3 linked regions of the Caenorhabditis elegans genome follow. The protein of the gene in region 1 purifies or fractionates together with the protein of each later gene. This does not show direct contact. Each region holds a gene or a part of one and is shown on either strand. Other genes may lie near its edges. The genes, in order: C09F9.2, gut-2 and cyh-1.

Region 1 (3,755 bases):
GAAATTATCTAAAATTATTTTTTTATCCCACTTAAAATTTCCGGCAAACAACGGAAAAATAAAAAATTTTAAAAGGGAATTTTTGGAAACTTTCTGAGCTTTTTGAGAAACTTCCAAATTTCTCTGGAAGGCTCTGGAAAATTCTGGAAAACTCTAGAAAAATTTGAAAACCTATAAAATGTGGGCACTACGTCAGATAATAAAAATAAAGTTTAAAAATAAAAAACGTACGTCACGTTAAAAGCATCATTGAAGTTGGTGAAAATGGCAATTGGCTCATCCGACGAGTTGAGAACTTCCAAACGAATTCCACCCTGAAAGTTATGGTTTTTTTATTAATTGATTTTGAATCCAAAAATCCCTCTCTGTCCGGAAATCCAACTGTTTCTGTTATTTTCTTTTTTCCCGCTAAACTGGGTCATCTTACCGACGGAATTTTTCATCAATCAACGTCTTTTTTCTCTCTCAGTGAGAAGAGTCACAATCTCTTAACCTAGTTCAAATCCGATAGTCAATTGAAAAGATACTTGGTTGGGTTCAGTTTTAAAAAGTCAAGGAGGTTCTTGTCGGTCAGCAGTTGTTTTTTAGAGGAAAGTGAAATTTATAAGTCAAGTGGGAATTAATGCATAACTTTTTTTTTAGAATATTAAAGAAATCTCGGACACCGCCACCTTGAAATTCCCTGAGCTTCAACTTTGCACGCCACGGAACCCCGTAGATGTCGGGTCATGCATATCAGCCAAACCCCAATTTAGTTGAATTATCAGAACATTTCCAGAAAATAGCCCGATTTTTGAAAAATTTTCTTCAGCTGTTTGGAGAGAAGCCAAGTGTACTCCATGTGCACTTTCCTCCAAAATTTCCATCTTCTCCCTAATAATACAACAGTACTATTATTACGTTTCAACACTCTTTCCAAAATCAGATAACTCATATTGGATTGGCAGGTCCTGTCTCCGAGTCTCTGATATCTATAGTTTATGATCAGGTCAATGCCATCCACCTTTCTTCCCTCTTCCCTCCTCCCCCAATAGTACGAGATGCCGACACTAATTGGTAGGACCAATTCGGGTCGAACGCATTATTATGTAATACACTTTTTATGGCTGTGTGAGGAAAGTAAGAAAGATGAGCGAGTGGATTTAGTGACCGTTTCATTAAATTTAAAATTGAAATTGAGTGAGGAAAATGATAGATTTGGCGCACTAAAATGTTGGTTAATTTTGAAGATATAAAACATACGTTTAACTACAGAAACATAGAAAAAGTTTGCAACTTTTTGATAAAACAAGTGGCAATTTTTGGACTTTTTGTCTTTGTATTTCTGTAGTTAAAATTTGCTGCTTTATTTCGGGAAATCTAAATTTTCAGATAAAAAAATCTAATTTTAAACATAACTAACCATATGCGGAACAGCTACAAACCAATTCATCTCAACTGTGGATCCGGCTTTCATGAAGGTTCGGACACCTTCTCCGGGTGCCGGTTTCTTGACTCCACATGGTGGTTGACTGTTTGATGAGCTGTAAAAGTCGAGAGCCGGAGCTCGAGCTGGCGGGTAGACAAGTTTGATGTGTGCCGTGGCGAGGGTCGCCAGAAGCAGTGCTAACACTGCTCGTATTAACATTTCTGCAATTATTGGTTCATTTTAGAATGCACAGATGAATAAAGAAGATACGAGAAACTACATTCTTGAATTTCGGGGGTCCAACCTTTGACCTTCTGCTCCAAAACCATCCATCTTACCGACGGAGCCATATCTTATGGCTCAGTCGGTAAAAGACTTGCCTTTGGAAAATTACTCCAAGGTTTGACTCCCGGGTGAACATAGTCTCGAAAGATTTCCAAAACGGTTTCAAGGTGACATATGAGAGGTATAAGTAAGTAAAAGTACGCAAACAACGCAATTTTTTGTTTCAAAATTTGAAATTCCTCCCAACATACAGTTTAAACACAATTTCAAGTGGGTATGAAAAACGTATAAGAAGGATGAACAGAAGCCGTGTGGAACTGGTAGGAAGGGTGGTGAAAACTGAGAACAACAAGTATTAGCAGTTGGGTGGGGAGTAGGAGGAAGAGGAAAAAAAACGAAAAAAGATTCGATAAGTTATTGGCATGACAGGATTTTCTTTGCTTATTGTTCGGATGAAATGCTTGTTGGCAAGTGAGTACTATTCAGTAAAATGTCTGGAGAATAGTAGCTAGGAAAAAGAGTCTCCATAAAAAAATTTGGCTTGCGCCTGAGTTTATTGAAACTTTATATCTTGGTGCTTGGTCTTCGCAGGTGAGAAGCTTAGGCATATGTAAATTCTTAGGATTATGCTTAGGATAAAAGCCAGGCATAAGCACACGCCTAGTTTTTTTAAGTTAAAAAAAACATAAACTCAGACCTAGGCGTGGCGACTTAAATTGTATTTAAAAAACATCGAAACCTTGTGAAAATTGACTGAAAATTTGGAAAACTCGAAAAAAAAACAAGATAAGCTTGACGTTCGTTTGGCTATCAACTTGGAAGTCGCCCATGAGCAATGTGGACCGCTTTTGCACGCGTTAGACAAACTAACATATATTGACTACAGAAGCGTCTAAAAGCCGTGCAGCAAGTGGATGATGATCCAGTAACCTTGATGTTCTATGTTCTCGAACGAAAAACGAACAAAAAATAAGAAAACAGAGGAAGAGATAGAAATGGAAAAAAAATTCGGGATGAAATGATGAGACACAACATACCGGACACACAAAGACCTTGACCGCTTCGGAGATATGAGGGGATAGTGCAAGACTGTGCGTGTTGTGCAATAGTGCATAGTGGTTGAAATTGATGGGAGGAGGAGGAGAAGGAGAAGGGATTTGTTAGAAGATTAGAAGATTTTGAAAACTTTTCCATTTACAAAACTTGGAGCTTGGGGTGCTCTATGACCACCTGAAATCGGGCACCTAGGGCTCGGCGAGGTATGGTTACTGGCATGGTGGGGCTTCATTAAATACAGTGGAGAAATAGCTCTGGAGCCCAACACCACGGTTCGAATGAACCTTTTCGGTATTTTTTTTTAAAGTTTTATGAGGAAAGGAGTGAATGACTGAAAGATATCTACCTACTGGAGGACAGGTTCACCATCCCATAACCGACACTCACCTCGCTTGCCCAAAGTGGATACATAAAACACATAACGGTGTACTTCTATATACCCTATAAAACACAATACAATCCACCATTTATCTTTTTAGCCCCCTTTCCCCAATTTATATGAATTGCTGATGTTGTTGGCTGACAAAGTGGGACATGAACTGTGTAGAAAATCTAAGCGAACAAAAAGAGAAAAAAATCAGAAAGAAATCAAAAAGCGGAAATTCTTCGGGATTCGGGATTCTTCGGAGGCAAGAAATGAAACAAGAAGACCGTATCTTGCGGAAGGAATTGATAATTAGATACCATAGGAATAGTGAAAGTTCTCGAGGAAAGCGAGTAATTACAAGTTGTTGCGCGAGGGAAGGGTCTTTGCGGGATTTGGTGCCAAACGAGAAAAGGGGTCGCTGGCCTGTTGAGTTGCTAAAGGTTTATCCAAAATGTGGGCCGGGCCTATTTATAACAGATAATTTGGGATTACAGATAGCACCAAAAATTTTATTCCAAAAAAAAAAGAAAAACAGTTCAAAACGTGTACGTTGCCGCCACCCGGGCCGTCCAACACCAAAACAGTCTCCCAAAAGTAGGGACAAGGGCGATCAAAAGATAGAGATAAGGCGCTGGATTC
Region 2 (3,371 bases), on another chromosome or scaffold:
GTCTTTCCCCTTGCACTGTTACTTTTTCCTCGAAAACCGCCTCAATTCGTTTCCTCTCCGCTGTATTCTGCAAACATTGTTTATAAAACCGGCAAATTGAAATTGAGTTTCAGGTTACAGCTTTGCCTAATACGATAAAATAAACAAAGAAATTAACTAACCCGCTCGAATTTTGAATTCAGGCTTATCATTTGTTCTTCATTAGATCCATTGATATTAGATAACATTTGAAGAGCATCTTGTGATTCTTGTACTTTATCTTCGAGCCTTTTAACGTTTTGCTTGTTTTCACTTAATTCGAACACGTTCTCTTCGATTCTGGCTTCTAATTGAACAACCCGTTCATTTCGTTGTTTCAATTCTTCGGATTGAGCATCATACGATATTTGCAACTGCTTCACAGTTTCTTCTCCTTCGCCAATTTTCTTTTCCAAGTTCTCATTTACGATGTGCTGTTTTTCACGTTCCATGCTTAAATTACGAATCGAATTTAGGTGTTCCTTGATTTCGATATCTTTCTCCTGAGAAATAGCATCCATTAGTTTTTGAGCATTAACTAGCTCAGTACGCAAAACATTCACATCATCTTCAGAAGGCCTCTGATCGAGCATCTTTTCAAGCCGAGAAACTTCGATTTCGTACCGAACAACATCTGATTTCACAACTTTCAGCTCTCTTTTCAGATCCTCCATTTCAACTTTGCCCGATTCAGATTCATCCGTAATTTCGCGCATTGTGACGCTCATCTGTTTCAATTTGGCCATCAAATCTCCACGTTCTTGTTTAACTTGTTGCAATTCTCGGGACTGCTGGCCGCTCTCTTTCTCAAGTTCCAGAAATTGCCGAGTAACCATTCCTTTGTCGGCTGTGAGAACTTGAATCTGCTGTGCCATGTATGGAATCTCATCTTCTGTGACTTCTGAAGCTATTGCCATTACCGATTTAATATTATCAAGTTCTTCTTTTATCCGTTCAGCAAAACGTTTCTCTTCGTTAACTCTTATTCGAAGCTCTTCAATTTCTTGATCTTTTGTAGCAAAGGCGAGTGGAGCTTGCTGAGGTGGAGTGTAATCGGGATGATTTCTGTTGGCTGATGTCTGAAACTATCAAAAAATTCTATTGAATCAGAGATTAATCAACTTACGTCAGAATGTTCTTTTTCAAAATGAACAGTAAGTTCATCAGGACCACCGAGCTCTACCATACACATTGGGCACAAGAACCCTTCGATCTCCTGATCATTTTCTGATTTTTGTGATTGCGACTGTGAACCTTGACTTGAAATACTTGGTCGACTGTTGTTTAGTCGGCCGTCAATCTAAATAAATTATCAAAATGGAAAAAACTAATTTTTTTACAAAACGGAAAACTTACATCATTCGCGACTTGCGAAACTTGTTCTTTCAACCTTCGAAGCATGTGTTCTGGAAAACAACAGTTCATCGATGCGATAATTCGAATGTAACGAACGGAGATTTAAATGTGATACACGAAATAGATTACAACAAATTGAGATATATCATCAGATCGATATAAACGAAGAGGGAAGGCGAAAAGCATTGATTTGACAACAAAACCGGCGCATTTTCTTCTCTTTCTGTCTCGAAAGATGATTCAAACATAGCGCAAAACAAACTGGCAAGTGGAATTCTCTGTTGGTCACTCAAATAAATAACCGGATTCCCTCTGATTTCTTTTCGTCTCTTCTCTCTCGTCTGGCAACGATGCTCCGTTTTGACGCAGTGCGCCTTGTTTATAATTAGTTTTGAATATTATTTTTTCATTAATTTTCTGAATCTTTGCAATTCTTCGACGATTTAACATAAAATGGTTAGTTTTCCTTTTAATTTTGTGATATAAATTGAAAAAGTACATACTCAAATTATTAAATGTGTTATAAAACTGTTGGTTGTCTCGGATATGAGGCTGTTCCGCTTAAATGTAATTTAAATTAATGGTTTAGGTATGTAGAAAGTCCCGAATTTTTGTTGTAACTCACGAAATATTACTATTTCAGCTGTTCTTCTCATTCTTCAAATCACTCGTAGGAAAGGACGTTGTCGTGGAGCTCAAAAATGATTTGAGGTGCGGTTTGTTAAATCAGTATATACAATTTACAGAAAATCGAGAAAATAACTGGAACCCATGTAAAACTTCAATTTCAAGACATTTCTTAAAAATTGGTTCACAAAAAATGCTTAAAACTTCTTGGGTTCAATATTCTGAATGTCTAGAAAGAATTCGAAACTCCCCGAAAATATGTATTAGCCAGACGGAAATCATTTTCAACGATACACTTCCACATAATGAAAATTCCGAATTTCTCGAAATCTCTTTAAACGCAAGTGCCATTCCTGGGTTTGAATTTAAATTATGAAATTCCATTTAAGATTAGTTCTGCTAATTTTTATAAGTTTTGAAGTTTAAATCTCACAAAATTAATATTTAAAAAATAATTATCTTATTCTAATCTCTCAAATGCAAATTCTAATAATTTTTCAGTATCTGCGGAACTCTGCACTCGGTCGATCAGTATCTCAACATGAAGTTGACCGATATCACCGTCTCCGATCCAGAACGATTTCCACATATGGTCTCTGTCAAAAACTGCTTCATCCGCGGATCCGTCGTCAGGTACAATTAGTTATCATTTTTCATAAATATTTCAAAATGATTCTTTAAAGGTACGTGCAACTCCCATCCGATCAAGTCGACACACAACTCTTGGCTGACTCCTGCCGGAAGGAGCTTCTCGATTCAAAGGCAAAACAGTAAATCCACGTGTTCATTCCTCAAAGTTCATCTCATTTTTTGTCAAGTTTGATATCATCTCATTTAAAAAAATATTTATTTTTATAAAAAATTCGTAACAAACAGGTTTTATTCACAGTTTCAAATGGTGTTTATTGCAGGCGTGTTCATTTTGTTTTCTCCATTGAGGGCACCGGTATGATAGTAGAAAGTATTTGATTGCTAAATAATTCCAGAATATTACGTACTGATGGCCACACCGTATTGTCCATAATGAGTCCAATAGGAGATGTTAAACGTGAGAAATAGTACAGGGAACATGACTCGAGATATAAGATCTGCTCTTTTCGACTTGTCATTCCATTCAGTCTTTGTTTTGATCCATTTCCAGACGCTATTTGTTTGACGGCGATTCATTCGAACTGTCATTACTTCTCGTTCTTGTTCAGCAACTTCTCGTGGTACCCACACATCGTTATGTGAATTTTGAAGGAATGGAAGTTCAGCTTTCTCTCTTTCAGTTCGAGCCCCTGAAAATTAGCAAAAAAAACGTAGGAAAAATTCTGAAAAAAAATCCCAACTGACTCTTATTAGCATCTTGCTTGTTTGCAATATAAGTC
Region 3 (3,755 bases), about 11 Mb from region 1:
TACCATCTGAAATTAAGATTTTTAATGGAAAATTGATGGAAAATGTTGGAAATTCGGGGAATTTTGGGCAAAAATCGGCAGAAAATTGAGTTTTCTCAGTTTAAAAATCAAAATTTTAGCGATTTTTGAGTGAAAATGAGTTGAAATCCAAGTTTTTGCGTTAAAAAAATCAAAATTTTGCCGATTTTTGCGTTTAAAACAAAATATTTGGCAATTTTTACACAAAATTGAGTCGAAAAATAGGTTTTTGCGTTTAAAAGCCGAAAATTAGTCAATTTTACACCAAAAATCGCAGAATTTTTTCGTTTAAAACTAAAAAAAATTCGGAAGTTTGTATGAAAAAATTGAATTTTTGACAATTTTTGGGCAAAAATGGCCCGAAAAATAGGTTTTTTCGTTTAAAAATCAAAAATTCGGCGATTTTGACTAATTTTCAGCTAAAAATTCAATTTTTACCCTAATCGACGTGTCTGATGGCACCCAGACAAGAAAAGCCCGCTTGAAAAACGCCAAGGCTGTCCATTTCACTGATGGCCATATGTGTGGGCGGAATTTGTCGGCGAATCTGGAAAAATTTTGGTATTTGAGTGGGAAAATTGAAAATTTCAGGTTTTTTCGTGTGAAAATCGTTTTCTTTTGGGGTTTTCTCGACTAAAAAACTAAAAAAAAAATTTTTTTCAGAAAAAATAGCCAAAATTGTGAATTTTCTGCATTTTTTCTGAACTTCTATCGGAAAAATGGCAAAAATTCCGATTTTCTCAATTTTTCATAGAAAATAACCGAAATTCACAATTTTTGGTGCAAAAAATGCAGAAAATTGAGAAAAAATCGCATTTTTCCACATTTTCCGGTACAAAATTGTTTTTTTCATGGTTTTTTCGGATTTTTTATGCTAAAAATCCAATTTTAGCCGGAATTTTCGCGTTTTTCATGAAATTTTGACGGGAATTCTCCGATTTTTCGGTGAAATCCAGCAAATTCTAACTTCAAAGCAGCATCCTCAATTGATCTTTGCATTCTGAGCTCCTCTTCAGGTGTCACAAAGAGCTCCAACTCGTCCGGCTGCATTACTGACTCGTATTTTTGACGGAATTTTATGTTTATCTGCAAAAAAATTGGGCATTTTTAATTTTTTGAGGAAAAATTCAGGTTTTTTCAGTTTTTTTTTTAGGAAAAAGCGAAAAAAAATCCATTTTTCCGGAAAAAAAACGGTGGAATTCTCAGATTTTTCAGTAAAATTACAGGAATTTCTACTTTTTTTCAATTTTTCTCAGAAAAAAAAAACAAAAAAATAAATTTTTCCGGAAAAAACGTTGAAATTTCTAACTTTTCCTGAATTTTTCAGAGAAAATGAAATAAATGCTCAATTTTTCGAATTTTTAAATAAAAAATGCCGAAATTCTTAATTTTTCCAATAAAAATGACTAAATTTTCAACTTTTTCCGAATTTTTTAAATAAAAAATGCCGAAATTGTTAATTTTCCGTGTTTTAAGTGAAAATTTTGCTGTTTTTAGCCTATTTTCCATAAAAAATTCCAATTTTTCTACCTCCAAACGCATTGCGGCCAACTTTTCCGGTGTATACGTCCATTCCCGTTTTTGTGTGCTCGTCGCGTACATTTCTGAATTTTTGCCATTTTTTTGGCTGAAATTTTCGGTAAAAAAAAAGGTAATTCTGGGTGAAAACCAGTGAAAATTAGTGAAAAATGGGCAAAAAATCGACAAAATAACAAAAAAACGAGTCTATAACAAGAAAATTCCAACAAAAACCAGAAAAAAAATGTGAAAATTCAAAAAATTAACAAAAAAAAATTATTTCTTCTTATTCTTCATTTTTGATTCTCTCTGTTGCTTGTGAGATTTGCGATTTCCGAATTTTTGGAATGCTCCACGTCGTTTAGATTGCTCTTTTTGGCGAATTTCAGCGTATCTGGAAGGAAAATATGGAAAAATTGGAGCTTTTTGATATAAAAATCGATTTTTTCGGAGGAAAAATGTGATTTTTGAGCTATTTTCACACAATTTAACCGTTTGTTTTGCTCAAAATCCGAAAAAATTGAGTTTTTTTTTATTGAAAAATCGATTTTTGGGGGGAAAACCTGTGCTTTTTTCAGAGATTTTAGCGGATTTTTCAGGAAAAAATACTGAAATTCTCAAAATTTTCGATTATTTTCCGGAAAAAAACGTTGAAATTATCGTTTTTTTGGTCAAAAATCGTGTTTTCAGTTAAAAGTTTGCGGTTTTTCGCCATTTTTGGACAAAATTCGGCGAAATTTTCTGAAAATTCGGCTTTTTTTTGCTCCTAAAATCAAATTTTTCGGTAAAAATCTTGGAAAATGTTTTTTTTATTAAAAAAAAACCATATTGTAACGAAAATTCACCATTTTCCATCAATTTTAGCCAATTTTGAGCTCCAAAATCATAATTTTACGTTAAAAAACGTAAAAAACTGTCCATTTCCGGGTTTTTTCGACGAAATTTCGTCGTTTCAAGTGAAAATCGATCAATTTTCAGCATTTTTTTGGGGTTTTCGAGTCCAAAATCATAATTTTACGTTAAAAAAACGCAAAAACTGCAGATTTACAGGATTTTCGGCAAAAATTCGGCGTTTTGAGTGAAAATCGGTCAATTTCTACCGTTTTTAGCGAGTTTTTGCATTAAAAATATCAATTTCCAGGATTTTTGGCAAAATTTCGCCGTTTTGGGTGAAAATCGGCCAATTTTTATCCTTTTTAGCTCATTTTTGCTCTAAAAATCACGATTTTAACGTTAAAAACGCAAAAACTTGAATTTTTTCACAAAAATTCTTGATTTTCCCGTACTTTTTCTTGGCTTTGCTCAACGATTCCTCATTATGCAAAATCTCGTCGACCATCGTCTTTTTTCGCTCTTTTCGCACCATTCTACTCGAATAAAAGTCTTCTGGAGCGTCAACGACTCGTCCAACCTGAAAAATCTCGGATTTTTTGGGAATTTTTTAAATTTTCTCGAACTTGGAAGTATTTCGGCAGTACAGCCCGGTCATTTCGACGATAATGAGCCAATGGATCGAGAGTTGATCTCATTTGAAGGAATTCCAAATCTCGTTTGTGCTCATCGGTGAGCTCCGTCGCTGGAAGGTTGAACCAAGCGGATCCTTTGGTTTTTTCGCGTTCTGACTGGAAAAATAGCGATTTTTATTGGATTTTGAGCGATTTTAATCGAATTTTCATCGATTTCAACGCACTTTCTTCAGCCTGGCGGCCGCATTCCGGCCTAAAAGCCTATTTTGAGGCTGATGATCGCCTTCAAACTTCGGCCCGACAACTGACTTTTCCAGAAGCTCCTGCAAGTCCTTATCCATCTCATATGGCTCCAAATAGGATGTTCCGAGCAGGTCAACTGCCTCAAAAGCTCCTTCTTTTGGCGCTTCTTCACGTACGGCTCTGTCAACGACGAAATCATCGAATTCCTCGGCGACAGGCTTCTGAAAATCGATTTTTTTGGTGCTTTTCTGGGAAATTTTCGGTTTTTTTCGCTAAAAATTTGCAAAAATCGCCGTTTTTTGTGATTACTTGTTGCTTTTGCTTCTTTTTTGGAATTTCCTCGTCGGAATCCGAATCTTCGCTGCTTGAAACGTCGGGATTCTGCTGTTTTCGTAGCTTTTTGAAGTAGAGCGCAGACATTTTGAGCTGAAAATCATTCAATTTCAATTTTTATTCGAAAAAACTGGCGAAAAAGAGCGAAAACCGACGAAAACCCGGTGAAAACCTTCG

What was found.
Region 2: the proteins of C09F9.2 (region 1) and gut-2 fractionate together in Caenorhabditis elegans (co-fractionation; one large-scale study listed by BioGRID). This does not show direct contact.
Region 3: the proteins of C09F9.2 (region 1) and cyh-1 fractionate together in Caenorhabditis elegans (co-fractionation; one large-scale study listed by BioGRID). This does not show direct contact.

The regions. Positions count from the first base shown.
Region 1 is NC_003280.10:14,703,388-14,707,142, reverse strand, and holds the start of C09F9.2 (EGF-like domain-containing protein), read right to left. Parts: upstream 1,629-3,755; 5' UTR 1,628-1,628; coding exon 1,403-1,627; intron 315-1,402; coding exon 232-314; intron 1-231.
Region 2 is NC_003283.11:13,495,949-13,499,319, forward strand, and holds gut-2 (U6 snRNA-associated Sm-like protein LSm2), read left to right. Parts: upstream 1-1,792; 5' UTR 1,793-1,827; coding exon 1,828-1,830; intron 1,831-2,017; coding exon 2,018-2,085; intron 2,086-2,502; coding exon 2,503-2,634; intron 2,635-2,684; coding exon 2,685-2,775; 3' UTR 2,776-2,871; downstream 2,872-3,371. Other genes in the region: eea-1 (FYVE-type domain-containing protein), read right to left, coding at 1-67, 162-1,103, 1,145-1,318, 1,375-1,419; avr-15 (Ig-like domain-containing protein), read right to left, coding at 2,992-3,281, 3,337-3,371.
Region 3 is NC_003280.10:3,502,884-3,506,638, reverse strand, and holds the start of cyh-1 (Cyclin-H), read right to left. Parts: upstream 1,621-3,755; coding exon 1,549-1,620; intron 1,105-1,548; coding exon 986-1,104; intron 566-985; coding exon 457-565; intron 7-456; coding exon 1-6. Other genes in the region: Y49F6B.2 (Fcf2 pre-rRNA processing C-terminal domain-containing protein), read right to left, coding at 1,813-1,930, 2,823-2,947, 2,994-3,158, 3,227-3,466, 3,555-3,665.